Caenorhabditis elegans: one gene and its partners. The protein of the gene in region 2 interacts with the protein of the main gene of each other region in a biochemical or structural test. Each region holds a gene or a part of one and is shown on either strand. Other genes may lie near its edges. The genes, in order: dsh-1, sre-28, mpz-1 and dlg-1.

Region 1 (9,647 bases), on a different chromosome or scaffold from region 2:
TCCAAATAATCTAGGAATTTCTTTGGGGCCCAGTAGAAAAAATTTAGCGGAAAACTTTAGCGGAACCCCCAATGACAAAAGAAATTAAAAATTCAATTCATCTAGTAAAATTGTCTTCATACCCTCAAGTCATAAACCTCCAGATGTCTGTTTAATTCTCATTTTATTTCCCTCCCTATGGTCCCCGTGATCCAGTTTCTGGGTCTATTTTGTTTCTTTTTCAAAGAACTATAACTATTGTTGATACATTCAACGCAACCTGAATTTCAGTGATGAGCACCGATTCGGAATCAATGATCTCGGCAGCAATTCCTGGATACTTGAAGAGTGCTGCCTATAATCGACGGTTTCCACAACATTATTTGGGTTAGTTTCTTTTTTGTTTTTTGGAAAACGGGTATATACTCGATTTCAAAAAAAAAACACTTTAAATAGTTCTGCACAATAATCTGTGGGCCTCTCATGCAATCACAAAAGTGCCTAATTACACGTATAGCCAGTTGTCAAGGCTAGTGAGCATTTTTGTGAATGCTTAGATGGCTCAAGGCTTTGTATGGTAAAAAAACAAACATTAGCTTTTGGGGTAATTGAGAAACGGGAAACACGATGAACTTGGTCCCAAGTGTTTCAGAAAAAATTGGAAGAAAAACCTCGTCTCAAAAAGTTCTTAAGAAAGTTCTCGCAAACTTTTACATTGTGTCAGTGAACCCAATAAAACTTCCCCTCATAAAATCTTGATCACATCATTTCAACACTTTCACCCCATCATGTCCTTCCGTTGATTTTCATGTTTTATGTTGGTGTTAATGAGCCGATCTCCCAGATCACTTCTCATAGATCATAAAGAAATGAGAGAGCACAGAGAAAGGACCAATTGTTTCAATTCTATCTTCTGGGCTCATCTTGTTGGCTGGCTGCCAGTCAACCAACCAACACACATTTCAATGAGTGGAGATCTCCTCCTTCTTTGCTTTCATTCAATGTTTATACATACATTTCATTTCATTTCAATTTAATCACACACACACACATACATATCGATGATTTCCCCAGTGTGATTACGTGGAATTAAAATCACATAATTGTGGTTATTACCTGGTAGCTGGGTGTATAAATCAATTGAAATTCTCCCTTTTGTGTACAACTTCTTTTCAAAGTATTTTAGTTCATTGTGTTTTTCTGAAAATTTAATCTGAGGAGCATATTCTCAAATTCTATAAAATTCGTATTTTATAATCTGTTTTAATTTTCCTCCAAATTAGAAATTCATCCAAACTCTCTTTTGTTGAAAATTAAAAAAAAAGTATTTTGTTACTTTTGAAACAAATAGATTATTATTTTCAGGATATCTAGTTGCATTGAAAGGCTACCCAGCTGTTTTATTTCAAAAATTTTTGTTCTGAAATATCTGACAATGACATCTGAAAATGGTAAATTGCGAACAAGTCACAGCTAGTTTAGTTTAGCTTCGACATTAGAGAATAAAAAATTATTAACCAGATACCAAAAATATCTCTTTGCGACCTTAAGAACTGTAGTGTACGGTAGAATTTGTAAGCATTGTTAATTGGAAAAATATGTTCTTTGACATCCAATTCTCGATCTTTTGTAACATTAGTCCTTGAACTTCTCTGTTAGGGGGTCAACCGGGCTCCTTGCTTGCTCCACCACTTTTTGTGAGAAACCGTTCTCTATATCTCTGTGCTCGACGTCAGTGGGAATGAAAACCCGAAGACCGATGAGTTTATCACAGTGTTTATCAAGATGCTTTCCTTCTGTCTCTCTCTCCACTTGAACACTCTTCTCGAGACCTCATACCACTTCACCCCACTTTTAGTTAGTTTTTTTTGTCCGCTCACTTGTCGATTTCTGTGTATGTTTCTACTTGTCACTATTATCGTTTTTGTGTCGAAATAGTCTCTAGTACCCACCCCAGGATCTCATAATATTGCTCTCATTCTCGTTAACACGAAAATAGATATCTGCCTTATAATAGTGAGATCTGTGGTTTTATTTACTTTCGGATATCCCTCACTTGTGATTTCTATCATGATACCTATCGGGATTTTGGGGAGAAAAGACAGTTTGATAATGATCTTTTCTATGCTTTATCCGCTTTTCCTGCCTCCGATCAATGTTTGCTAGCCCATGTGTGTAGGTGGATTCAAACATTTGATTTTATACTTCGTCATCATCAAGAGCCATTGCAACATGTTTCAGTGAGATCAATTTGCAACTCTTTGTTCAACTAGTCATGATGAAAAATTTTCGATCAATATTCTTTAAGCAACTGCCATTTAATCTGACCATAGCAAATTGTGTTTTCCTCTGGATCTCTGCGGTGTTTGACTGTGAGCCATAAGTCAAGTTGCAATTTGTTGATATAAATAACTGATAGTGAGCTCTTGGTTTTAGTTGTCATGTGCCATTTTCCAGCCCACCAGTTGAAGAAATTTGTTAGTTGAGAAATGGTAACACTTATTCTGAAGCTCTTTTGCGAAACGGGGAAAATCTTATTAATTGATAGCCACATAGTTTCGACCGAAACGTATTGAACTATAATTTTAATTTTATTAGATGTATCAGTGAATGTTAACGATTAATTAAATAAAAGTTAAATGAAAGCAAACATTTGTCTTTCAAAATAACATCGAGATTTAAGCGTATAAAAACTTGAGTTTTTTTTAAATTTTTCTACTGTTATGGCTTGAATCTTAACAAACTCATAGACCAATTATATTATATTAAAATTATAATATCTCAATCTTTGCATTTCTCATTATATAGGAATTTATCAATTTTAGATGTCACTATCATAGTCGAGTCAATTGAGATTTAACATGACATATGTCAAGTCCGATTAAAGTTTAACGACAGTGTTTATGGTGTCAACAGGATTATTTTGAGTACCAACTTTCCCGATGTGTCGACTATTAAATTCTCAGTTTCTCTCTAAATTCCCAGCACATGATAAAAGTAAAACGAAAGTATCTGTTTCTAATCCAAGTGCATCATGAGCCACAAGATGGGATGCTGGGAAATTTATGACCCCCCATCGAGGTGTGTTTCTCGTTTCTTTCTCTTCTTTTTATTACCTTCAAGCTTTTTTATTACTTCCCAGCTCTATTACTATCAAAAACTTAAAACCGATTTTCTAGAGAACGACACGATTGCTCATAGCTCACTAGCGAGCAATGAGTATCAAGCTTGGAGCTCGAGATAGAGCCCTTCCATCTCCTTCTGGCTCCTCAAATACCCCATCCACTTCATCTGATATGATTCGCTCATTATTATTCACTTCAAAAGAACGAAAAGTCCGTTCGACATACACGGCTCCTCCACCAAATCGACAACACTCGCCGGGAGTTGTATCACAATTGATTAACAAGATTGAGTTGAAAACGTCACCTACAAATACATCGTCAAGACCAAAAAAGAAGAAAAAGGCTCCACCACTTGCTAAGATTGATGATCTTGATTTGGTTGATGATGAGAAAACTATCGTCTCGGAAGTTGTAAAAAGTCCAAGAAGGAAGAAATATACAGGAAATCCATTAGGAAATTTGAAAATTCTGAACAACATTCTCCCTTCCTCCAAAGCTTCTGATGATAAGGAAAATTCAGGAAGCCAGCAGCAACCAAGTACGGGGAAAAAGTTGAAGAAGAGCAGAAGTAAAAGTCGTGTGGAGCCGGAGTCTGAGGCACCATTTCGATTAAAACGGACTTTAACTGATCTCACAAATAATCATACACCTGCCGGATCCACATGGCGACAGATGGTCTCAAATGCGCTCGGTGGTCCACTTAAAAAACGGCTCAGCGAGGGGGCTCTCCTGTTTCCCGGCACCAGCAAAGCATCAGATGATTGTAACGACGAAGAGGGGGATAATACTAAGACGACAACGAAGCGCAGATTTTTACAACGACGGAAACAAAGCGAAAAAAGTGCAGGAGGCGCCAACGGAAAAGAGTCCGGTGGTGGTTCCGCCTCTTCATCGTTTTTTGGAGCTCTTATCAGATTGTCCCACTCGGCTGCAAGTTTAACGTCTTTAACTTCACTTGGTGGTTCAAAATCTCGGTCTGCATCTCCATCACCATCAAGTTCTCGATCTAATACTAAAGAATTCAAAGAGAATCTGAGCCCACCTCAGCCACCACCACCGGATCTCATTGCACCAGCTGCAGCATTAGCCAGACCAACTTTTTCCCTTGCGGCTCCTGATTCCCCTGTTTCACTTGCTCCGCCATCTAGGGAGCTCAGAAAATCCAAAACGTGTCAAATAACCACCGATCGTCCACCTATTATTCCTAGTATTACTATATCTGAAAGTCGAAGTTTGAACCGAATCGATAGGTGTCGGCCGGTCACTGTAGATGGAAGTGGTCTATCATCTGATTGCCGACCTCTTGTTTCACGAAGAAGCACAATGAGCCGTACAATGTCACTGATTCCAACTAGTCCATCGCTTCCGCCACTTTATGAGGAAGAAACAGCAAGTACAGCGGCAATGGTGGAAGAGGAGAGAGCGGATCGAGCACAGAAGCGCAGAATGCGAAGGTACGGCGGATCAAATACAACAAGTACTTATCAAGGAAGGAAAGATGTTGCACCGGATGCTTCGCCGAGAAGACATCTTATTGGATTTCTACATAGGACGTCACATCTATCCTTAACCTCTGAACTTAGTGCAGATGCATCGTTTTATTTGATCGGTAGGTAAATGATGGCGAAAAATGATGTGATCAAGTAAAGGGTAATAGGTTCAAAAAACAAAATCTTATGAAAATTTGAAAAAGCATCGAATTCTAAGTTTTCTTAAATTCCAGGGCACCGACGACATCTCGAAGAATCAACAATTGGCTCCGAATCCGATGCAAGAGTATTTTCAGATGATGATGATAGGTATGTTTTTTTTTTTAATTTTATAAACATAGGTTTCATTTCATTGAATTTTTATGTAAAGCCAGTACTCTGGTGACAGTGTTCCTTTCAAAATTTAGTGTATTTTATTCGGCAAATTTTTATTTATAAAAAATTAAAGCAAAAGTTTAAGTTATAATAGGGCTACATTCAGGTCTTGCAGGGCTATCTCAAGGAATATGCAACATTGAAAAAAATTTACATTCAAAATATAACAACTCATAAAAACAAAACCAAGTTTACGAATAGGCAATACCCCTTTGAAATTTTAAATTTTAAATATTTTCAAAAATTCGATGGTTTTCATTTTGCCTCTCAAATAGTTAATACCTTTTTTTGTGTCTTCTCTGTCTGTCACATAAAGTGACAAATGACTAGGCTTAAAGCGGGCCTTCATCCCCGCTCACTCTGCCCCCAATGATTTCGCCCTTCCGCTCCTCAAATAGTGAAATGAGCGGCTACATAACTGACGATGATTTCGCAAGCTCTGATGGTAAAGCCTATTATTCAACAACTTCCACTTCAACTTCTGATTATTACTATGCAATTGGAACAGCTCCGCCGAGCAGCACGGGTGCCACAACTCGCGACGTGTCAGTTCATTTATTCTGCGATAAGACACAGCTCGTTAAATTTGAGCAATTCCTGCTTGGCGCTTATCTTCTAGCTAAAGCCTGGTAGTGACTATCACAACAAGCTCTTAGTGTTGTGCACTATTTGAAGGAAACTAATAAAAATTGGGGAGGGGAAGAAAAGGACGTGAGAACGGGTGGAAAGAGATGGATGAGAAGTGGATAATTGCTTTCGATAAATCTTTCAGTTCTTTTCGGATTTTGTGGAACAAACTTCTAGGTTGTAACTTTAAGGAATTTGAACATTTTGTTTTGTGCAGTGCTCCGCTTATATTTAGAATTTCACGGAACACAATTCTCATTAGTTTTCCTTTTTTAGCTAGTGAAAACCATGTAAAATTTTAGTTGATAACGTTCAAAGTTACTCACGAGTTGCAAAAATCACTGAAAACCACAGTAAGATTTTCAAAAAATTATGAAATTTTTATTTACAGTCCAAAATGGAAATTAACCAGTTTTCGCTTATCATAAATTAATAATTCGATTTTAAAAAATTTCTACAGTTTTTTTTTAAATTTTAAAATCATTTGTATTTATTTTGTGGGGCATCGAATATGCAAAGCTTCTTTAAGTTTCTCAATAAGACTCAATTTTCAAAAGTTGGACTGAAAATTCTGAAAAATCTATAACAATTTCAACTATAAAACGTTCAATTTTTCAGAGGCTCTACAACAACCGATTTCACATCAGTATCCCGACAACATGAAAAAATGGCAAAGAAAAAGAAGAATAAAAGAAATTTCCGAAAACCCTCTAGAGCATCTTCGTTTTCAAGTATCACAGGTATGACCTCTTCGAAATTAGCATAACTTTTACCATTCGAATTCCAGAGTCCTCTATGAGCCTTGATGTAATAACAGTGAACCTCAATATGGATACAGTCAATTTCCTTGGCATTTCAATTGTTGGTCAAACTTCTAATTGTGGTGATAATGGAATCTACGTAGCAAATATCATGAAGGGAGGTGCAGTGGCATTGGATGGAAGAATTGAAGCTGGTGATATGATTTTACAAGTCAATGAGACCAGCTTTGAGAATTTCACTAACGATCAAGCTGTTGATGTGTTACGGTAAAAATTATTATTTTTTACTGAGAGCTTATTCTTCAACATATGAATTTTCAGAGAAGCTGTTAGCCGTCGTGGCCCCATCAAATTAACTGTGGCGAAAAGTTTTGAAAATGGGCAAAGTTGTTTCACAATACCAAGGAATAGCAGAGAAGAGCCTGTGAGACCAATCGATACTCAAGCATGGATCCAGCATACGAATGCAATGAGAGGAATGCCAAGTATAGTTGAAGGTATGGTTTTTTGATTGGAAGTGTAGAAAAACTAAACAAAATACCTGCCTGTTATTTGATTGATCTTTTTATTTTTTGCAAAATTATAAGCTGCACTCTCAACCTATTCAACTTCAGGCTGAAATTTATTCAGTGCATTTCTTCGCTACTTTCAAGTTGATGTTTTTCAGACTTCTGATGTTTTAGGATATTTTAAAGTAGAACAACATTTGGAAAGCTTTTTGGAATTTTCAATTTTTTTTTGAAACAAAAATAAAAATATGAAATTTTTCACATCTCTAATTTTGAAGGCTGAATGTAAAATTAAGTCAAACCTTTTTTCTGCACCAAAATTTTGAAAACAGGTAGGCAGGCAGGAAGACAGCCTCGATGTTGTTTTTTGTTCTTCTTCTACGTTATTCTCCTACAAATATCTATTAATTAAAAAATTTTTTCCAGAAAGTGCACCGACACCAATTCCTGGTGAATGGCCTCATGGTCGACCGCCAAGCAGCTCAACGGTGACCTCAAACGGATCAAATGGTCAAAATACAGTAGTCGGCGGCGGAGCTCATATTATTCTTGATATACACACTGACAAAAAGAAGGTTGTCGAAATAATGGCTATGCCTGGCTCTGGTCTTGATATCAAAAATCGAACATGGCTCAAAATTCCGATTCCCATGTCGTTCTTGGGTAAGTTTTGAATGAACGTGTAGAGCCTATTCTAATTCTCAATTTTAGGATCTGATCTGGTCGAATGGCTTTTGGATCATGTTGAAGGGCTTCGAGAACGGAAGACAGCACGAAACTTTGCGGCGGATTTACTGAAATTAAAGTATATTGCACATGTGGTGAACAAGGTCACATTCACTGAGCAGTGCTATTATGTCCTTGGAGATGAGTGTTCAGGTAGGAAAGTATACATTTATTCGGAAAATGTCAAAGTTTTTGTATATGAAGATGGAAGTGGGTCTTTTGAAATCTTTAATGCAATTTTTTTGAACTGAAATGTTAAAAATTTGTTTTAAAAAATTATTTTTTTCAAATTATATTTTTAAAACAAATTTTTCACTGATGCACAAAAATGTCTGCCTGTAATCTCCATAGGAATGCAAAAAAGTTGGTTGCATTCAAGGCTGCCCTGCCTGATTCAAAACATGAAATTCAACCCTTCTTGTTATATCTTCTAAATTACTTCCAGACTATGCCCGATTCCGAAATGAAGATGGTGGACCCAAATACCAATGGACCATCGGAATGAACGGAATGTCTGCTGGCAACGGAAGCTCTGTGATGCTCCCACCCCCACATTTACCTGGAGGTATGGCTGGCCCTCCTGGAGCTTTTAAAGGGATGGCTCCGTCAATGGTAAGCGACGGCGAATCGCGCATGTATGTAATGCACATTTAGAATGTCATCATTTTTCTTCATGTTTATGTTTCATTATGTCTGGTAATCAATGCCAAAATGGCATAATTCAAAATAGTTTCTCTCACAGTACACCATGTACCCGGTATTACAATAAGTTCTAATTTAATATTTTGTAACTTCTAAGTCTCCAATCATGAATCAAAATTTCATATGTTCCCGGTGATTGTAATTTTGGATGTTTTTCCTTTATTTGATTATTCTATTTTTGAATCTGTCCGTCGATTTTTTGTTGCATTTCCTTCTCAAATTCACACGAATTGCGATCTTCTTCACGAGTTCCCCACATCCTTGTCTGAAATAGATGCACCCTATACTAAGAAAAAAAACGTCTTGTTTTCTATTGCATTTGCCCTAAAATTATTGTTTATATTCGATATCATTGTTATTTTCTCGCCCCCTCATTTCTCAGTAGCATGTAAATGTATCAGTCCAATGTTGCCACCCACAAGAATGACAGAATAATAAATAATATTCTGAATCAAAAGAATGTTGTTATATTTCACACCACACGAACATTGCAAAGTGAGAAATATATTATTTGAAAAATATATAAACAGGTAAGTGGATATGCATCAATGCCGGCTTCACCATTCCCACCAGCTCAATTGCAGCAACAGAGAAGAGAAGGAAGTACAACCAGTGGAAGTAGTGGCGGTGGAATTAGAAAACAGTGAGTTTTTCCACTATAAACATACAAAGAAATTTTTGTATTTTGTAAAGATATATAGCTTTTTTAAACATTTTCAAGAAAAAAATAAAATTCAAAACCACACCAAAAGAACTTGTTTCTTAAGTTGGAAAAAAGTGAAAAGTGTGAGGCACTGGAAATTTAAAAACTTTCGTCTGAATTTCTCTGACTTCAAAAGTTCCAATTTTATATAACACGGTAGACTCTAACATTTTTGACATAGTTTTTCGAAATAACTCCCAATATAATTTTAAAATATTTCAGACGAGTTGTTGTTCTTCCCAGAAAACCATCATCGTCTGCAAATGTTCCATTTGATGATAGTTCTACAATCTATGAAGAATCAAATAATTCATTTCTTATGGCAACTGGACAAAGATACGAGTATTAACTGTTAATATTAATTCAATGTTTTGGTGCTTACTTTTTGAGCTGTATAAAAACTGTTATTTATTCAAGATTTTTGCTTATCCGCCGCCTTCTTAATTCTTGTCGCGAAGGCGGTTCAGTGGAATGCTTATTTATAAACTTCATTTATTAACAATACTTTATTTATATATTATCATTAGCAAATGGAGTTCACTTGAGTAAATTCAAAACTGATGTTTCTTCCACAATTTCCTCCTTATATAGACATCGGATATGACTTTTCACGTAAAGGTAGCAAAGGTTGTTCCACGGTGTTATTGGCA
Region 2 (5,497 bases):
CACGGAAAAAGTTACGAGTTTTGACCCGGAACTTATTGACACCCCTAATATGTTCTGTTAAATTTGTATCTATGTATGTGGGGGGGGGGGGGGGTTTATTTCCTGCGAAGGGAAGGAATTTTCTGAAGATACATAATTCATTGTTGTCTTCTGAACATCCCAGATCTTGTAAAAGTTGAAACTCATAAATCCCCAACGGAGCCTGGAACTGACTAGACTTGTTATAAAATTAATTGCTTGGATGAACGTATCCATTTTTAAGTTTGAAATTTCAAGAAAAGATTAACAATGGAATCATTGATTAAGTTTTCGTCAGTTAAAAATCAATTGAGAGCACAATTTTTAGTAATATTTGTCTTTGATTTTTTGAAGAGAACACGTTTCCGGAGTGGAGGAAGACAGAGAATAATGGCCAATGGATCAAAAAATGGAAATGCTGAAAGTGCCAATACTTCAAGATAGTTAAATCCTCTGTAATATTTAAATTATAGCCAAATGAATCCGGATATCTTGATTTACCTTCCAAGATTAATGTTGAAAATTGGACTGAACCAACAAAGAATACATGGGGAAAAAATGACAAAAATCGGTATAATTGTCTGGACAATTAAAGCTTTAAGAAGAGCTTTTTGAATGGTTGTTGTGGTTTTACTCATATGTAACGTGTTTTCGGTCAGTTTGCTCATTGTCTAAATAATCAGAATTGAATTAAATTACTTCAGGATTTAACTAACCAAAAAGCCGAAGATTGCATATAAATCAATAGAAAATAATGAAATTCCTGCAACTGCTATCCAAGATCTTATGATAACGTCGTCTGATGCTTCCTAGAAACAAGATAATTGGTTCAATCTGTTGTGGTATGAAGCAGGGGTGTGCGGCAAATCTCAAAATTTGCCGAGCTCGGCAAATTCGGCAAATTCGGCAAATTTGCCGTGCTTAACAAACTCGGAAAAATTATATATTTTTTGATATTTTTTGGAGCATCAAAACTACTGAATTCTTAACACACCTCTGGTTTCTGAACAAGTTAGGTGTAGTGTGTCTGCTTAAACATCAAAATAACTCAATTTGTTGTCATTTTACTAAATTTTTGGCGAAAAAATCAACAGTTTTAGTCAAAATTGTACTGTCAAATTTTTGACGTGTGCGGCAAATTTCGAAATTTGCCGAGCTCGGCAAATTCGGCAAATCTACTTTTTTGAAATTTGCCGTGCTCGGCAAATTCGGCAAATTCGGCAAATTTGCCGCACACCCCTGGTGTGTATGTCCTGGAAGTTTTGACGATTTTCAGTTTTTGGGAAAATTGATCTTAGAAAGAACTATGAAGAGCAAAGGAAGAAGTTGTGAAAAAAAGACATTACTATTGGTACGACTATGGTCACAATGGAGTAGAATATGTTGAATAGTGCAAAAAATAGCAGAAGATATCGATAATGGCCAAACTTGTTTGATTTTTCCGTAAACAGCAAATACACAAAAATTGGATTTATTATAAATGCAAAGGAAGCAAAGATTTTTGGAATATAGTGATGAGCCCAGTTTATGTACATTTTGATGATGGAATGAAATGAGAAATGATGATGTGAAAACAATACACCTATAGTTTTTAGTTTTCTGTTTTAAAATCATGTGAGCTGACCCTAGAGATTTAAATATAAACTAGAATTCTACCGGAGGCCGAGGTTGGCAAGAACACAAGAGTCCTGAAGTTGGAAAATAAGTTTGATTAATTTCGGAACTTTATTTCATTTTGCCATTCCAATTTGTTCTCATCATTGACTCATTTGAATGATTATGAGCTGCAAATATCTAAATGTAAATTGATTCTTGAACAGTAAGTCAACCAACTTTGACACTTTCTGCCCGAAAAATGGTAAAACTAAAGCAAATAGTTAGGCAGTAGTATAAAAAGGTCTGTTCTCCTTTGTTCAAATTAAGAACTCGTCTATTCTTCTGATTATTTTAAAAATGAACGCTAAATTGTAAGTAGTTTTCAATAATTTTATAACTTTCAATGCAACCAATTTTCAGCCTTCTCTGTGTATTGGCTTTTGCCATGTGCTCAATTGTTCAAGAAACAAGTGCTCAATACTATGGTTACTCTTCATATTACCCAACATACTATGGAGGATATGGTCCCGGAGCATATAATGGATACTATGGTGGAGCTTATGGATACGGGGAATATGGATATTATGGAAAGAGAGAAGCTGGATTTGGCCCAACTCAGCAAACCAAATAATTCTGTGTTTCTCTATCTTTCAACCACAATAAATGGATAAACAACATTTTTAGTTTGCTTCTTAAATGAAAATTTATAATAGTTTGAGTACGAAACCGTAAAAGGTCACAAATCTGAACATTTTTTGACTGATCAACAGCGAGAACCACCTGCTTAATGGAATATAAATCTATAATTTTTGAGAAATATTTGCATATATTATATAGGTTCAACAGAAAATTAACAACAGAGGAGCTTTTCGAACAAAGAAAAGAGTCGATCTGAATTTTTTCAGTAAAAGTCTTTGCCACTTTCGAAGTCAAAAAATCACAGAACTTGCGTAAAATCCTAACTTTTTGCAGCTATTCAATTCGACGAAAATATGCCTAGCTATTTAATCTACTTTTTTAAATGACATGGGTTTGTAAAAGTTTGCTCACACACTCACAGAGCGTCTTTAGCTACGTGGCCTAAAAAATGTAAAAGCTCGGCCAACAATTTATTTTTGATTTGTCAAGTTAGATCTTTCTGAAACTTGCCAGCAATGACCTTGAAAGGGGCTTCTTTACTTAAAATGAGAACAATTTCGAGGAAATAATCTTTATTTATTGTATAAGGGTGACCGAGGGTTTTCATATCATGACGTGATAAAATCGCTCCGTTCTGCTGAAATTCAAAAATCGTCCCGCTGGCATTCACATCAAAAATTCTGATACCAAAAAAAAACAGGAGAGCAGGTGAAAATCAAAGATTGTCTTTATTCTTCATAAAGTTTTTCTTGTTCATTATTCAACCCAAGACATGATTTTAAAATTGGAGAAAACTCCAACGGATTCTTCTTATTTCTGGTTACCTGTTTATCTTTACAATGAACCCGATATTGTGAGAATTATAGTTTCAATAACTGAACTTATTTTTTATTTTTTCGCTTTTTATATTAACAGCGTTTGCCTCAAAGTGTACCTCAAAATACAATTGTTTCATTATAATTTTATAATTTTATCAATTCCAATGTTTGGACTTTGGTACGAGGCTATTATTGGGAAAATGATTGTAATGCTGTATAATTTAAAAATATTGAAAGTTATCGATCATGAAATATATTTTTTTGCTTTATATACAGCTGATACTGAAAAAATGTTAGTTGTCAAATCTATCAATGGACTTGAAATGTTGATTTTGTCTGGTTTTATTCAGTGGCATTACATATTTTCAATGCTTTTTGGTATTCTTGCAATTTGTATTGAAAGAATATTTGCTTCAATGTTGATAGAGTAAGTTTCAAGTATTAAATTGTAAATTAATGTACTCTATAATTATAACAAGTAATTAACATAATTCTAAAACGTTTTTAATAATTTCACACACGGAAAAGCGTTAATTTGTCAGAAAAAGAGATTTGAAACTAATTTTTCAGCAATTACGAAAAAAGTACACAAATTTGGATTCCTGTTGTACTCATTGCAATAACACAATTTTTTTCAATTACTGTTGCATTGGGAAATCTTTTTGAAATAATTGGAATACTCGCATTCAATGGTTTTTGGATATTCACTGGAGCAATATCAGTAATTGTAAGTTGATAGTGAGTAATTTTTGACGTTGGAAAGTTTGAATACTTTTTGCTAAAAAAACTGCATTCGTGTATTTTAAAAATTGTCTTCTACAATAGTTTGATGGTATTTTTTAAAAGAGAAGAAAATAAAATAAAAAAAGATTGAGTAGATAACATTTCAACAAATTCTGGCTACTATTTCCAGCTTCATCTTGTCATCAAGAAAATAAATAACGACTGGCAATGTGAAATGGAAAGCCCGAGACGAAAAAAGTTCTTCACTATTTCCCAAAGATTTCAAGTGAAGGAGAATTTACGTGCTCTACGAGTAAATTCAAATTTCATTTTTGAAATCAGTTATAATCTTCTTTTCAGGTTGGCAGGAGATTGGTTATATCAGTTATTGTGACTGTAGTTGTTTGTGGTGTTGGGATTATTGCGCTCATTCTTGAAGTGGTTCCACCATTTTTATGTCATTTTGTTGAAAACTGCATTTACCTGTGAGATTTTTATATTACAATACATCCACCTTTAATTTTTTCAGAAATCCATTCCTTATATGCACAGTCACAATGTACAGCACTCATGCGTGGAGAAATGAATTTACAAAATATTTTCCGTGTTGTCGGTATTTTGGAATTGCCAAAAAAGTGAAGATAGCAACAGTTCTGTCAATCGCGGATTCAAGAAAGAATACTGAAATTGAAACTCAAACTTACTTCAAAATGCTCAATGACTCTTGGGTTTAAATGTTAATCAATATTTATTCTTTTAATTTTTCCAGCGATTCATCAAAGTGTAAATGAAAGTAGAAATACACTTGTTTAATGAATACCAATTTTAAAGAACAATTAAACACGAATATAATTTTGTGATTTTATTTGTTGCGAGCACTGTACTGTACTTCATATCATAACAGATGGGTGCACACCAAAGTTATATAAATGTATTCACCGGCGACAAAAAACATGTAAACTTCACTACACCATCCATCAATTTCATGTTTGGTTGACAAGTAAACAACCAAAAAAAAACTATAAAAAGCTCCCTTCTAAAATGTCAATAAAGGACACTTTTTCCCGTCACCTTATTTTTCTCCTTTGTCTTCCCAAGCCGACTAAACAGGAACAATTTGCATAAATGGTGCTTTTGAAGAAGTACTTGAAACATCAAACAACAACTCAGATGACTTCATTTTCAGAGTTATGAAATAAAGAATTTTTGTGAATGATTGGGTCATGATGAGAATGATACAAGAATGCAATCATTCAAACTAGAAAAAAAACGAAAAGAGTACGGGAGACAATAAAAAAAATTTAAGAGCCGGTTGGAATCAGAGCACACATTTCAACGTGATGGTAAGTTAATCTGAAAATTGAAATTATTTTATCTTAAAAAGTATAACAATACGAACAAACAATACAATTTCAAACTTACCACAAGCACAAAATACAGAAATTCCTCCTTTGCTGGTTGATATTGTTCTATTTATTTTTATTGTTCCTCTTGTCCATCAAAGATACGTGCACGTTTACCCCGAAGTCCTTTCAAAGACATCATTGGCACTCGTTTGTGATAAGTTGGATCCCTCTTTCCGCGTAAACCACGAAGGCCCGGGAATGCGTAAGCTTCACCTTCAGAAGCTGATGATGGTCCACTTCGTTTGTATTGAGAAGGCCAGTATACTTGTGCCTGTAATTTGGATACTATACAGTTTA
Region 3 (6,408 bases), on a different chromosome or scaffold from region 2:
AATTCCAAACTTTGGCCCACTCAATTTCCGCATTTTATGAAGTTTTGCAATCTAATTTTCTTAGATTTTCTTTGTTATATATTGCATATTCGGGCCAAAAAAGGAACTCAAAGGAAAATATCCAAAAATTAATGTTTACTTAAAAATTATCAAAAGTTAATTTTTGGCTTAACTCTGTAAGTACAGAAGATAATTGTGGCTATTTAAAAAAAAGAAATTTCGGAAATTTCCGGTTCCTCAAAAAAAAGTTACAAACAAATTTAAAAGTGATCCGCCAATGTGTAAAGTATGAGAACACAAAACCCGATTCATTGCTCCGAGGAGCACTTTGAGGCGGAAACCAGGTTAAAAATAAAATTCTTAGTTGATCCGGGTCTAGTCACGTAGTCTCAATCTCCAATTTGTACCTACTTTATGCCTGCCTACCTATGTGACTGCCTACCGCCTATTTTCGATGCTTTTGTGAGTTTTGATTAGAAAATGTAGGCACGAATTTGGAAAAAATTGAAACGCCTGAGAAAAATCAATTTGAAAAGATAACATTGAAAGAAGAAGCTGAAGCTCATTGAATCTTTCAATCGTTGTCAATGACCAGCATTTGATAGATGGAAATATTGTTTGATTGGGAGAGACGGCAGACATTTGATAGAGCATCGTAAGAGCACCAAGAAGAAAATTTGAAAATGAGAGTTTATAATATTTCGAATATTTCGAGCAATATGGTGTTAAAATATTGGTGCTACTATTTTTTGAATTTTTTTTCCAAAAAATGATATTTCAAAAGGTTCTCCAAAAAGAAACCGAACATGTCCAGACATCAATAAAACGAAAGAAAACTACGAATTGCATGTCCAGTTTCATCTTTATTTTTCCTACGGCCGGAAAGGTTGAGTGAGAAATGAACGGGCGGACATTTGAAATTTGAAATGTCCAATGGAGCTGTTGTTGGAAATATTGGAAACAATAAATAAGGGAAAGGGACATTGAAAAATGAAAGAAAAACGAGGATTAGGAAGAAAAGACGAAAAATGAAATATGAAGAAAAAAAGTGGAAATGTGAAAAAAAACGAAGGAATGAAGGCGGAGAAGATGGAAGATGAGGAGGTCGAAAAATGGAAGAATAAACACTTGGGCATGATGGATGGAAGGTTCGTCTTCCAAGAAGTTTCAGTAGAATTGTGTGCATTTTAAGAAAAAAATGTTCTGGAATATTGAAAATGTGTACAGTAAGACTGGCATGATTTTGGTGTACGTAAAGTGTACGTCCGGTTTTCCAGCAATAGTGTACAGTAACCATCCATAACCGAACTCATATCGAAACATAATCTACCAGTTTCGAGCTGATTATCCAAGGTCTCAAATCATCGAGGCGACCAGCTTCTTTTTTTTTCAAAAAAATCTTTACTTAAAATTCACATTTTGAAAACTATCCATTTGTTGGAAAAAAGCAATTCGAAAAATAGGCCAAAAAATCCAAAATTAGGGCAAACCTGAAGGTGACCTCTGCCTGCCTCACGCCGAAAACGCCTACGCATGACTGTTACGCCGACATTAGTTGTAGAGAACAAATTTCTAGGGATAATTGATAAAAGTTCTTTGGGGAATTATTAAACTTGGAGGCGGAATGAAAAGTGCTGACAGCATATAGATATTTTTAAAAAATGTTAAACAAAATACTGTACGACAGAAATGGAAAAAATTGTCATAAATCAGAAAAAACCAGAATCTGGAAGTACACGACGTCTATTTTTCTATTCCTCCCCGGAGTGCGAATGTGATGCATTTGTGTGTGTGTATTTCTCTCCATGTGTGTGTGTGTGTTTGTGGATAATTGAGCTATCGTCTTGCGTTGGAGCAGAAAGACGAAAAGAAGAAGAAGAAGTAGCAGATGAAGAAAAGAAAAGGAGTTGGCGGCGGAGGAGCTGCCGCGGAGTAGACGGACGGAGAGGAAGAGTAGGCGTGCTCTGTGTTGGTGGCTAGTAGCATCTTGAGAAGAAGAAGAAGAAAAGACCAGATTTATCCGATTGATACGGGTGAGAAACTGGTGAGAATCGATGTCCTGTGGAAGCCAGGATTGGTTTTTGAGAAGTTAGTTACATATTGGGTGAGAAGGTTCAGGTGGAAACACCCGTCTTCGCGTTCTACTGAGGCGCGACAGAATGTCACCCGTCACTCGCCTGTAAAATGCCTTCACAAAAAAATGTAGCCAAGCTTAGAGGAATGCGAAAATTCTAATTACTTGGGTGAAGCCTGTAGGTACCGTATGGTAGAAAATAGTATGACAACCCTAAATCAAATCTATTGAATCTTTTGTTGAAAGAAAACAAAAAGATACGGCAACTTATAATATTATTTTCCAAAACTATAAACAATGAAGCAACTGTTCGGAAATATTGTTCTTCCAGAAAGGAAAACGGGAAAGTTTAGGTTTTCTTCCAGATGATGAAAGGTTTCAGGTAAGCTCCCGGAGCCCCGATGCCAAAGCGTTCGGATTGTTATCTCAATAATACGGTCCTTGGTCTCGACACGACAATTTTTTCAAATTCAAAAAGGTATGCGCCTTTAAAAAGTACTGTAAATTCGAACATTTGTTGCTGCGGAATTTTCATCGATTTTTAATACTTTTCTTTCCCATATATACATTGTTACAGGCGTTAAAAAATCGATCTGCAATGAGAAAAGTTTGTGGCTACAGTACACTTTAAAGACGCATACCAGTCTGAAATTAACAAAAAAATTATCGTTCCGAGACCGGGTACCGTATTTTTGGAGTAATGGGGTTATTCAAGTAATGTAGCAAAATGTATTAAAATACATTTGTGACGTCACAAATGTATTTAAATACATGTTTTTATATACTTGAATAAGGTTGTGACGTAATTTTTCTACACTTTTTAATTTTCCGACACTACTTGAATAACCCCATAACAGTTCTGTGTACAGAAAAATCATTATGCTTAAATCAAGTTTCTATTTTTTTTAAGTTTTTCTGTTTTTTTTTATACTTCCGAAAACAAAAGCGAAAAGGTGTTCTAGCGTAGTTCCCAAGAGTCCTTAAATTCATCTTTCTCCTTGTCTACTTCAACTCTTCCGAAACGGATGTAACATTGAGCCGGCTCCGGGACCCCCGCCCTTCTCTATGCACCTTTTTTCCCACCAAACAACGTCCACTTGGCACAATGCTATTTGTATAGGAATCAGGGAAAAGGGCTTTTTCGAAAACTTTTTCGACTTAGTTTACTTTTTTTTCTTTTTTGGGGGTGCATGATGCTTCAAGTCATGATGCACCATGTCTATAATATGAAGAAAAATGAGGCAAGAAAGGAGGGAAAGTGTATTAAAAGAACAACATATGGTAGTGGTACTACACAAAGAAACATTGGAATAAAGATGGGACCAAGGAAAAAAACGAAGAAGAAAAAAGATGAGGAAAAGTATAGAGGAGATGCATAATTAGAAGAAGAAGCAGAAGAAAAGGAAGACGTCTCCTTCTGGACGGGGGGACACCAAAAATGGAGTACAAAATGAAGGGTCTAACTATATTATTGAGACATTGCATTTCCTTCGTTCTATTAAAATATATTTTCCCCCTTTTTTTGCCGCAGCTTTTTATAACCAAACTTATAACCAGCTTTATTTCATCAATTTTAACATACAAATAATTTTAAAAAAACAGCCTAAAAACGAAACTGGCGAAAATTGACTGAAAATGTTCGAATTTCTAGTTTTGCCGCCAATTCCTAACGAGACCCAACGTTTAGGGGCGGGGCGTTTTAATTTGGCAGTGGAGCGCGATCGTGCCCCAAATCAACTGATAAAATGTATGAGAAAGTTTTTCAAACAGTCTCTTATTATCCAATTGCGAATTTTAGCGATTTTCCCCAATAAAATTTGGAGGCTGCGCGAAAAGTGTGCGCGCCTTTAAATTGTACAGTAACCCAGCTGCGGCGTTTTCCATTTTTCTTCGATTTTATTCACTTTTACCAGAAGTTTCAGTTTTGTTTCTGAACAAAAAATATTTTTCTAGCAAGAATGTGTGGAAAAATCCGAGAAATTATCGAAATAACGGGAATCTGCGGGTTATTGTACTTATTAAAGACGCACATCTTTTTTCTCGCTTTCGAATCATTTTTTCTTTTCAGACCTACCTTCTTTCGGCTTCATCTTCAACTGCTATTATATCCTCTGGCTCATCGATCATTCAATGATGTATTCCAGATTCTGAATCACAATTAATTAGCTCGAATTTTAAGAAGATAAAAAAAATTTAAAAATCTGAATTTAAAATATACTAATATGCAGGATCCTGGCCAAGACGTGTTTCGGAATGAATGAATAAAAGCCAAGCGGCATGTGCTCCAAGATATGAAATCTCCAGGGGCCATCTATAAGGCTCCGCCCATGTTTCCTTTTTCTCACTAATCTCATCTTTGTTTCTTTGTTTTTAGAGAGTTCAAAGACTTAAAGACAAGTAGGGTGTAATTTCATTTGAACCCCCTATCGCATTTTCTAACAAGAATAAAATTTGAATTTTCAAAAAAAAAGAAAAAAGTAATCGTAACGTTACTGTGGGGGAATGACCATTCAAATGAATGGTGAGAATAAAAGGGGAAAGGGGTATCGGATAAGAATGGCATACAAGTGATTTCGGGGAAATAATAAAAGTCAAGGAGCAATGGTCACACAAGCCTCGGGGACAGGAAGATGATAATGACGATTTGGGGGGAAAAATACACCTGTGGTAAATGGTAAATCAGTATGATACAAAGGATCTGGTCGTAGTTGTGGATGGTGATTACGGTAGTTTCGGTTGTTGTAATTACAAAAACGAAATGAAAAACTACGGGTGAAAACATGAAAAATGTAAGAGGGAGGGAGCTGAGAGCAAGCAAGAAATAAACCATCAAAATACACCGGTGAGCATCTGGAGGTATGAAGCTCGGAAAAGAGTGAGAACGAATTATTTATCAGTCGGAGGAGAGATTCGAGTTATCAGTTACACGGGTGCGGGGAGTTTCAGATATCGGTGACACGATATGAAGATGTTTTTGAGCGAGGTAGTTCCTTTTCCGAATGAGCAAATCCGGTAGCCTGACGGCGCATCGACGTGTTTCGTCCGAGTATGTTGTGTCGGCCGCCGAGGAACGTTGTCGAGGTGAGGCGAGAACTGAAATAACTAACAGGATATGTTAGATGTAGAGTGTCAATTTGGCATTAACTCATGGGAAAATATGGTCAATGAATGAGGCAACACGCCTTCAAGATCCGGCCGAAAAGAAGATCTACTAAAAGAAGATCTACTAAAAGAATATCTACAATGTGAAGATCTACGGCTTCAGGATCTGGCACCGTGCCAATTAGAAATTTTCGTGGTTTTCTCGAAGAAAAACGTGACAACAAAGGAGCATCATTGTTAAGTTTTTCTTCGATAAAACTACGAGTATTTCTAGTTGACACGGTGCCACATCCTGAAACCGTAGATCTTCAAATTGACTTTTCGGACAGATCTCGAAAACGTGTTGTCTCCGATAAATCTGTGGGGTGCATTGACGTACCGAATTCCTCGCTTTGGCGTCGATTCAGATTCGCTTTGGCATCCAGGCAATCCGCCGACTGACGTCATGTTTGCGAGAGCTGCTGGATCACACGAAACTCTGGGAGACTGCAGAAATGTCGTGTTCTCGTCTGAAATTAGTGAATCAAATACAATTTCAGAAGAAAAAAAAATAAATTTTCTAAAAACGCACTAATTTGTCCCAAGTTATTTCGACTCTGATTTCTGCCAAAGCCCAGCGTGGTGGCAAGTGTGAGTTGAGCATTACTGAACGCTCGTCGCATTCGACTCTGTGACTGTGGTGGTGGCATAAACGACTCATTGTGTGACCATTCCTGTAATAAAAGTTTATATATAAGCATTCAAGTTAGGTGTAACACTGTGGACAATTTTAATTTCTCCACTCATGTATCAAACTTCATTTCTCACGTTTTGTGTAGATCGTTCACTGACCGTAATGTTCATCTGACTGCCGTGTCCATATTGTGGTTTCGCTCCGCAAAGACTGAAATTTTGATTTTTTCTAAAGACTTGAAACCTGAAATAAGCCTACTTTCTAAAGTATCGAGTTGTCATATCCGAAACCATCGCATCGTTGATCTCATTCATATCTGATGGATCCGACGAGTAGAAGAATCTCCCACAATCACTCAAGATCTTCACATGAATATCGTCGAGAAAATCTCGAACCTCTTCATCATCATTCGATTCGAAGACTGTGTCAATGTCACCACCTTGCTCGTCACGATGAATCAGGCACCATACAAACACATTTGGCTTTGTGCTTCCGTTCTGCTGCTGCAACTCCAGACACTTCGCAATCTCGTCGGGAGCACGAATTCGGAATGCACTAC
Region 4 (9,076 bases), on a different chromosome or scaffold from region 2:
AAAGAATGTAAACTTGGTCAAAAAATGACAGTTAAAATTTTCTTTTTCAAAGTTTTCAAATAAAATTTAAAATTTCTGTCTAGCCTTGGTGAAATAATACAATGAACGTTTTCTGGTTAAAACTGCTCTTATCCCACTAATTTTTTGATGGGAGCCATTTAAAGCTTGTTCAAGAAGCCTTTTTTAGAATTTTGGTTTAAAAAACTTTAACTGAACACATTGTGAAGCCTAAAAATGTTTGAAGTATTATTATAACATCCTTTTGGATATAACATTTCCAAAGTTTTTTTTATTTAAAAACATTTTTGTTTTTTCCCTGCAACCGCATATAAATTTTTGTTCAAATATTTTTAACAGAGTGAAAATTTAATATCACATTTTTGGACCACAATTTTGGACATACTTCCACATACTGGTTATTTTGGAATTAGAAAATTTCTTGAACGTTCAGAACAATTATTATTAAAGGATTATGAGCTAAATAAAACATTACGTCAAATCATCCTCTTCTTCGTCACTTCCTTCCGACTCTGTGGCGGAATGTGCGAGCACGTCATCATCGTGAACCAGTGGAGGATAAACCGGTCGTTTTGGCATGTATTGATTAAATGCTTGCACTAGTTCCTCTTGTGTCATTTTCATTTTTGCCATGGTTGATCTGGGAAATTTGTTTTTGAAGGTATTTACGAATTCAAAGAAGATATACACAACTACTATATTATTTTGAGATATTCATTATTCATTTTAACTTTTTATTAAACATTATTTTCACTAAGAAATTCAGTTAGTAAACCAGTAAACAAACATTACAATAGAATAAAATTAACTGTCTCATTTTCCAAAAAAAAAAAAACGAATAATAAAAAATAAAGAACCGTCATACAAGTTGGGAATGCAAACAAATTTGTGAGAAACTAGTTAAGAATATCCGATAAACTTTAATACGTTCATAAAGCACGCACGTTCACACGGAAAAGACGTCAACCATCCTATTGACGCGTTTTGTGCGCGCACACGAAAAATTGCATGAAAGGGGGTCACTGACATGACCTAGCTCAATTATTTTACCCTTTATTTTATCTCAATGGTACTATGGTAGAACTGAAATCTTTTAAAGTTATTTAAACCGTAAGCGATATCATACTATTGTTACAGAAAAATTAAAGCGTGAACATAAAAACAATGAAACACATTTAATGAGGCAGAAAAGAGTAAAACAAGTAACTTTGCTATGTAAAAATAAATTAAAAATGAGAAAATGAGGAACTATTCTACAATTATAAACATTCATAAATTTAAAATCAAGATATCAATAAAATAAAAAAGATTGCTCCCGGTGAGGCTCGAACTCACGACCTTCAGATTATGAGACTGACGCGCTGCCTACTGCGCTACGGAAGCACTGAACAACGTCTGCAAAGTAGGATCAAAAGAATAAAAAAATGTTCTTAAATTCGAGCCAGTCTGTGTTTCAAATTAACAAAATGTGAGATAAAATAAATTGCTAGCTTTGACTCAAATTAAAAAATGAATTTAAACAGTTAAATTAAAAATTAAATTAAAATTACAGTTTTCTTCATGGCAACTTATGCTACTTGGGAAAACTTCAAAAAAAAAATTGCTCCCGGTGAGGCTCGAACTCACGACCTTCAGATTATGAGACTGACGCGCTGCCTACTGCGCTACGGAAGCACGTTGTGAACTCTTCACAAAGGACTTGAGAAAGGATGCAAAAACTGAGATCCCAAGTGGGACAGGGATTTGAAAATATCACAACTGTAAATAGTCTAGTTGAAAAATCTCAAATTTAACTCATAGTCAGTAATTAAAATATTATTGATATTTTAAAATCATTCTAATCTTATTTTGCGTTTAAAATACATGTTTTTTTCGTTAATTGAAAGACTAATAAAATATCAGGAACAATATTTCAGTCGAAGAAATATATTAGGCAAAAAAGATTGCTCCCGGTGAGGCTCGAACTCACGACCTTCAGATTATGAGACTGACGCGCTGCCTACTGCGCTACGGAAGCACATTTCGAAACGGATTCTGAAGAGTACTTCAAATCCTTTTGTTTCGGAATTTTTCCAGCGATCTAATAAAATGAATATTTTTAATGACAAATTGCCGCAGTCATTTTCAGAACACCCTGATATACTGAAAATAAAGTTTTTTCTTGTTACTTCAACACATGTATGTTTTGCAGATGCAATAAAATCTTTATTCAAGATAATTTGTATAAAAAGTTTTTAAAAATAATTAAAAAAAAAAAGTTTGGAACCAATGGATGAAAATAAAATGCTCTCAGAGTAATAAAAGTCCCAAAAAATAGAAATGAGCCGAAGTTTTTCATCAGTAGAGAGTCGGGAATATGATAATGATTTGCGGTTAGTAGAGACAAATGAAGCGTTGAGAATATCACAAACTGTCACAATTTCAAGTAAGAAGTGAATTGAGTTGGGGGAGGAAGGAGAGGGAAGAAGGAAGGAAAGCTGGGGCGGATTATAAAATGCAAGTATTTGTAAGGTGAATTTCAAGATAAAATGGGCTGTAGAGAAAACAGGCAGTACAAACTATCGTAGTAAAATATTCGGAGACAAAAGTAGAAACGATTCACCGTTTTCTGGCAGTGATTGTGGAGAGTTATGATTGAAAATGAAAATAATGAGCAAGGTAAAAGAAAAAAAGAATCAGAAAACTATTGAAATATTGGCCTTTCACGTTTCTGAGTTCGAGTAGTAGAGTTTCTTGAATTGAGAACTTGGAAAGGTCATGTAAATTAATGCATAATAGGGAAGGGGTACTAAACAAAATACAAATAAAGATGGGGATGGAAACAGGATAAAGCAAATGACATCAAGAGTTTTTTCAAAGGATCACTTTTCTCAGATTAAAAAAAAGTATCACAACACGGCGTAGTCTAATTATTAAGGTAAATTAAACTGTATATTAATTAATTTCAAGAAGACATATTTCTTGAAGAAACGATTATTTGTCTAAAAAATATCCAATTTCATCTAATGACGTGGCACCCAAATTGGCGTCTGCGATTCACGGCTGATGATGGAGTACACTTTGCTCAAAACGTCATTCGCGCTGTGCACATTTGAGATTTCTTCTGAAATAAATAAAAAATCAGATATTTGATAATAATGGTTGGAAAAAAGACATACGCGTGAACAAATCCCCGAAAGTTTGCTCAATTCTATGACATCTGGAATACTGCGCTTGAGCTTCTTCGCCACTCATCGCTCGATCGTCTTGTCGGTTGGTGGCAAGTTGGCTGTCCAATTCACTGAAATTTTGCAGATTGATAAAGCTTCTTTTTACAATTTAACTTACAGAATCTGTTGTGCAGAGCTGGGCTTGATGAAGATCGAGATTGGTTGAATATTGGCATTGCTTTGAAGTCGTCGGATAGCATTTCCACTGACGTCCAGAATACAGTGTCTTCCTTGGTTGGCGACATCTCGGACGCTTTGAATGCTAGTTCCGTAGAGATTGTTTTGGAATTGTCCCGCTTCAATGAAGAGATTATTCTTGACATCTTCCTCCATATTGTGCTTGTTGACAAAGTAGTAGTCACGTCCGTTAACCTCTCCCTCGCGTGGTGGTCGGGAAGTGTCTGAAAAGGGTATTATGAGTATATTGCACATACTATTTAGAAATGTTCTCTTTTTTAAAGTAGTTAATAACTTCACAACTTACGTGGAACGCAGCTACTGAATTTCGAAGGGTCGCGGTTGACAAGTTCATCGTTGATTCGGTCTTTGAGAGCTCCAAGAATGATCACTGGACGAACGTAGTTGATCGCCTGTTGCTCAACTGCCTGGTAGGACCACACTGGCTCTTCAGCTACATTTGAGGATTCCTCATTAAGATCGTTGAGCCGGTCGGTACTTTTGACGAATGGGAACTTTCTGGAGAAGGAAAGCTGACTGCGGCTTCCTCTTCGGTTTTCCAATCCAGTAGTGCTCGAGTTTCTTCCAAGAGACTGCGATCCCGAGTTGAAGTTGACTTGCTTCCGACGAAGTCGTTCTCTCTTCTCGACACGTTTCTTTGATGGAATCACTCCTTCAGCTGTTTCTTCTCCGTTTTCGTGAACTTTTCTAGCTGTCCACCATTCATCGTCAGATGAGTTGATGATATGTAGGATGTCACCATAGTTAAATCCCATTGATCTATGGGGAGCAACAGAGTTTTCACGTGATGGATCATAATCGAAAAGTGCTCTGAAAGATGTTATTCGTTGATATATGTATACATTTATAAGTAAACAAATCTTCTTACCTAACATATTCAGACTTTCTGCTCAAAGTTCCCATTCTAGATTGAGCAATCACGTCGTTTCTCAGCTTCTCAATTTTGGACTCAAAAATTTGATACTCTTGTGGTCTGTACTGAAGAGTGAGATAAACGGGATTTCCAGCGTTTCTCAATGCTTCAGCTGCTTCCTTATGGGTTGCATTTCTCAAAACAACTCCGTTCACTTCAAGAAGAACGTCTCCAGTCTTCACGTTTCCACTAAGATCAGCAACACCTCCTGGGAGAACAAAACTGATGTAGATGGGCTCATTGTCTTCTCCGCCAACAATGTTGAATCCAAGTCCATTTTGGCCCTTTACAAGTTGTACTGGACGGGGTTCGAGTGGAATTGCGATGGGGGCTTGTGAACTGTAGCTGGTGTTCAGTGGTCCTCCGTAAGACAAATGACTTTGAGATCCCATTTGAGAGCGGTTGTAGTCTTGAACGGAGCTAGCTGAAATGAAATTAATTAGAAACTATATTATTATTTTTGATTCTTGGGATTGTCTTACGTCTGAGAATTGGGGTAGTTGGCATGAATTGTTGGCTCGCCGAGTCATTGAAAATTGCCCCAGTTCCTTGCTGAATAAGAAGTCGAACACGATTTCCAGTGTTTTTGAGAACATTGACCGCATTTTCATGAGTCGTGTTAATCAAAGAGTGATGATCAACTTCAAGAATCTTATCTCCGACTCTTAATCTTCCGTCTAATTCAGCTGCTCCCTCCTCAATGATTTTCGTCACATAGATATCGGTATCTCCTTTAACGTGCTCGTTTCCTTGACCACCAGCAATAGAGAAACCAAGTCCACGTGCTCCCTAAAAAAAGTTCACATAGATTCTTTTGTACTTTGGAAAGAGAAAATGTCGCCAACCTTAACCAGATCAATGACGGATGTATTCGGTCGTGTGGAACGATATTGGCCAACAGATAATTGGCTCAATGATCCGTGATGAACTGGTGGTGGCGGTGGTGGATGAATCGGAGCCGATGGAGAATGAATTGCGTGTTGCAAGTTGCCGGCGCTCACTGATGGAGTGACTCCTGATCTGAGGTAAGAAGTCGACCCGCCAAAGTTTCCTCCAATTGGAAGAAAGGCTTCATCTTTACGCCGTTTCAAACTCAACGAAACAACGTTTCCGGAGCTTTTCAATGCGTTGACTGCAACCTCATGCTTCACATTTTCACAGTTTGTATTGTTGACTGCAGTGATAATATCATTCTTTCTAAAAAAAACATGACCATAAAGTTCTGTTCATCTTAAATTGCGGTTTTTTACCTCATACGCCCATCAGCAAGTGCGGCACCTCCTTCAATAATATTGGTGACATAGATAGAAGTATCTCCGTCTTCTGTTGGTTGGTCCATACCTATAATCAGATATGTTACATCATAAATACCGGTTGAACGCGCATACCTCCAGTAATCGAGAATCCAAGGCCGGTGTGACCTTTCTCCAAGACAATATTCTCAAGCTCCCATTTACGACCATGATCATCGATAACTCCAGTATGCTGAATATATGATAATTAAAACTAATATTGAGCCAAAATTATCTTACTTCAACCACACGTCTTTCAAGACCACTTGGAGTGTCAACTGTTCTTGTGGTTGTTTCCCGCCATGTTCCATCATGACTGGTCTGACGTTGACGCTCATGAAGGTAGTGAGTGCTGGATGAGTTGTACGGAGAAGACAGAAGTCCGTTTCCAAGTCCATTCCCAAGCCCGTTTCCAAGGCCTCCGCCGTTCAAATACGAGAAACCTCCCCGATCTCTCAGCTAAAATAATTTTTTTTATAAAGTATTAAAAAAATCTAGAATCCAAATCCAGAGAAAAAAAGAAAGCAGAGCTTACATCTGAAATAAGTGGAGTTGTGCTTGAAAGGTTGTAGTTCGACGTGGAAGTCGTCGCAGCCGGACGACTGTTGTAGGAGTGTGGTCCACCTTCGAGTCGCTCAATCACACGCCTTACTTCCATATTTTTCTCTGCATCTGATTTTCGCTCGCTGAGCAGCGTCTGCTCGTACAGATCGTGAATGTCGAGCAACGAATGCATCAGGTTTGATTTGAATGTGGTGATAACTCGTTCCAGGTTTGTGCGTAGCTCCTCATTGCCGTGTCTTGTCAGTGTCTGGCAGTAGTCCTCCACATTTTCTATCGCTTTATGCGCTTCTGAAAATACAGTTTCATGTTCAGTTATAATTGTTGTAGGATTATGCACATCCCAAGTCGCAAAGTGTAACAAGTCTAGGTTGATGACTCATTTTGCGGCAAAACATGGTCAACAAAAAAGGTTATCATGCGCTTTCTTTCCCATCCCGGCAAATAACGATGAGTCACCCTGCGAGGATGCGCAATCTCCCTCGTTTTCCCTCCTTTCTCCCCTTTCCCTTCGGAATGTACAAGACTGGCCCCGGAAAGATGTCTCCGATGAATAAAGGGGAGACTCCTGGTTGGACTGTCGGACACGTACACACACCATCACAAACAGATTGTTTTCTCTTTGCCCTCTTTCTTTTTGCCTTCTATTCCTCCCACTGCGTCTTCTTCGCCTTCTTATACAAATATAATGTTTGCACATTCAGAGACGCATCCTCACCATCATGCGCGCCAGAAAGCATTCACCTGGCGGGGAGGAGGAGGAGGCTCCGAGTAGTGTGAACTTTTCGAAAACGTATATAGCAAAATTATTACGTATATGTGTATGTGTATCGAAATGTGTAAGTGTCAACACCACAATACCTCATGAGGCGGGGTGGCCGTATTTGGCAGTTTCGAGGTGATAAGAAGACTGTTGAGATGCGATCATCGCATTGAAGTCATAAGAAGGCAGGGAAAGGGGGAGCGTAGAAAACGCAAGAATGTACATAAGTTGGTGTGTTGCCTTGGCTAATTCTGGTCATTGTGACATTGAGTTTAACGACCACGGCGACCGTAGGAAATGGGTTCGGTGATAATTGGTTAGGAGAAAACTGTGGCAAACAATTGAGATTAGTGGACATTGAACGTTTTGCAAAATAGAAACAGTTTGAAACTTAAATGTCTAGAACTCACTTTCCGATGACTCGTGGGACATGCTTCCTTCCTTCGGTGAGGCGTTCTTCCCACTCCGATCGGTTTTCTTTCGATGCTGGTCGCTGAAAATTGAAAAAATTAAATTGATCAACAAGTTTTTGAGACTGAAAATAGAAATAGACGACTGGTTTTAATGCTTCTAATAATCTAAAAACAGAGCTCGGTAAGAAGGAGGCATTGAAGACGAAAAGGAAAAACTGTGCGGCGATAAGACATAACTTATCAGAAAGAAACAAGAATTTACGGCAAACACACGCACACACACACACACATACACACAAGCAGGCCGCCATTGAGTTTGTTTTAGCGAACTTGATGTAAATAATAGAAACAAGATGCAGAGCAAAACGAGCAGGGGAAGGAGTAAATGAAATTTTTTGAAAAATCTAGGAAGATTCATAAATCATAATCCATCGTGGATAGAAAAATAGAAGGATATCCCGTACATAGAAGATGGAAGACGCTAGGTTTCGCATTTCACTTGTGTCGAGTCATGGATATGTTTATTTTTTGTTCGGCAATTCCCACCAACTATTGGTATGATTCAGTAGGTTGGATGAGGGGGAAAAATATAAATATTCCTCTCGTCTTCCTCCGGGCGGGTCGCATCTTACTCTAGATTAGTATCTACCAGAAGGGAAGACTGTGTGTGAGAGATCTGATAGATATGCTTGAGTAGAAGAAGAGGTAAAAAAGAAGGGCGTTTGGGTATAAACGGTGGGGGTCTTCAACGTTTATTGGACACCAACCACCTCCGCCGGTGGTTTTATTATAGACGCGAGGCGACAAACCGCACCATCGGAGAGGGACCTGGTAGGAGGAGCGGGGAGTCGATTGTTTTGAAAGGTTGTCATCTAATTCAAAAATTAGTAAACTATTATTAGGTATTTTTATCTTTGGATATTTTGTAAAATTCTGAATTTAAATAAAGGAGATTAAGTTCGGAGGGTTTTGGCTCCCTGGAAGGTTTCATAATGAGTCCTGAAAAATAAATCCAAAAATTTTGGATTAAGTTTATTTAAATTAACATATTCCTACAATTTGTCTTTATCACAGATGCCAAAAATATATACAAGCCAGAAATTTTAAATTGTTACCACCCCATCACGTCTCTTTAAGTTAAATAGTTAAAATTATCTTCGCTCTAAAATGTATGTTTCATTAGAACACTAACAATTTTATCTAAACAAAATGGGGGTTTTATTAGAAAATAATGCCATAAAATTGTATAGTTTGAAATTAATGGTCACAGACACGTCTGCAAATTTGAGTTCACAAAAAATATATTTCAATAGCCACTTGATTTCCAAAGAACTGAACAAAAAACAGGAACAAGTCGACTTGAAACAAATCACAGTGTCGAAACATAAATGGTCAAGATGAGAAGTGGAACAGACCCGGCCAGCATAGAAAAAACAACACTAACTTATGCGTCACGCTGTGTGTGTGTGTGTGTGTGTGTGTGAAATTATATTCAACATGTACAAGCCAACGGGACATTAGTCACGACATGCGGGAAGAAGATAGCGAACGTCGTCTATTGTACCAAAAACATGCCGGGAACAAATGCGCCAAAAAAGTTGTGGCGAGGCGAATACTCTACTACTATTTCGAAATATGGAATTAAAAAAGTCATATTTTTTTCTATTTTTTTAAAAAGGTTTTTTTAGTGCGCCTTGACTGTAGCGATT

Evidence for each region.
Region 1: the proteins of sre-28 (region 2) and dsh-1 form a complex in vitro, tested with the Caenorhabditis elegans proteins (one study listed by BioGRID).
Region 3: the proteins of sre-28 (region 2) and mpz-1 form a complex in vitro, tested with the Caenorhabditis elegans proteins (one study listed by BioGRID).
Region 4: the proteins of sre-28 (region 2) and dlg-1 form a complex in vitro, tested with the Caenorhabditis elegans proteins (one study listed by BioGRID).

What each region holds. Positions count from the first base shown.
Region 1 is NC_003280.10:5,214,222-5,223,868, reverse strand, and holds dsh-1 (DiSHevelled related), read left to right. Parts: upstream 1-3,194; coding exon 3,195-4,713; intron 4,714-4,827; coding exon 4,828-4,903; intron 4,904-5,201; exon of another isoform or gene 5,202-5,405; intron 5,406-6,214; coding exon 6,215-6,336; intron 6,337-6,383; coding exon 6,384-6,624; intron 6,625-6,678; coding exon 6,679-6,854; intron 6,855-7,292; coding exon 7,293-7,529; intron 7,530-7,577; coding exon 7,578-7,745; intron 7,746-8,037; coding exon 8,038-8,204; coding exon of another isoform or gene 8,205-8,246; exon of another isoform or gene 8,247-8,749; intron 8,750-8,824; coding exon 8,825-8,937; intron 8,938-9,219; coding exon 9,220-9,346; downstream 9,347-9,647.
Region 2 is NC_003283.11:9,941,368-9,946,864, forward strand, and holds sre-28 (Serpentine Receptor, class E (Epsilon)), read left to right. Parts: upstream 1-3,025; coding exon 3,026-3,498; intron 3,499-3,641; coding exon 3,642-3,798; intron 3,799-3,984; coding exon 3,985-4,107; intron 4,108-4,154; coding exon 4,155-4,279; intron 4,280-4,323; coding exon 4,324-4,528; downstream 4,529-5,497. Other genes in the region: fipr-12 (FIP (Fungus-Induced Protein) Related), read left to right, coding at 1,972-1,985, 2,035-2,245; nlp-58 (Neuropeptide-Like Protein), read right to left, coding at 5,274-5,471.
Region 3 is NC_003280.10:10,773,926-10,780,333, forward strand, and holds the start of mpz-1 (PDZ domain-containing protein), read right to left. Parts: upstream 4,202-6,408; coding exon 4,149-4,201; intron 1-4,148. Other genes in the region: ect-2 (Protein ECT2), read right to left, coding at 5,017-5,167, 5,556-5,685, 5,748-5,889, 5,984-6,059, 6,108-6,408.
Region 4 is NC_003284.9:5,478,071-5,487,146, reverse strand, and holds dlg-1 (Disks large homolog 1), read right to left. Parts: upstream 7,448-9,076; 5' UTR 7,387-7,447; coding exon 7,365-7,386; intron 7,156-7,364; exon of another isoform or gene 7,045-7,155; intron 6,929-7,044; exon of another isoform or gene 6,651-6,928; intron 6,483-6,650; coding exon 6,166-6,482; intron 6,090-6,165; coding exon 5,871-6,089; intron 5,824-5,870; coding exon 5,727-5,823; intron 5,680-5,726; coding exon 5,589-5,679; intron 5,536-5,588; coding exon 5,184-5,535; intron 5,128-5,183; coding exon 4,821-5,127; intron 4,763-4,820; coding exon 4,294-4,762; intron 4,236-4,293; coding exon 3,712-4,235; intron 3,629-3,711; coding exon 3,346-3,628; intron 3,299-3,345; coding exon 3,177-3,298; intron 3,122-3,176; coding exon 3,021-3,121; 3' UTR 2,206-3,020; downstream 1-2,205. Other genes in the region: C25F6.1 (Condensin-2 complex subunit H2), read right to left, coding at 494-651. UniProt on the Caenorhabditis elegans protein: Essential multidomain scaffolding protein required for normal development. Recruits channels, receptors and signaling molecules to discrete plasma membrane domains in polarized cells. Required for proper embryonic elongation.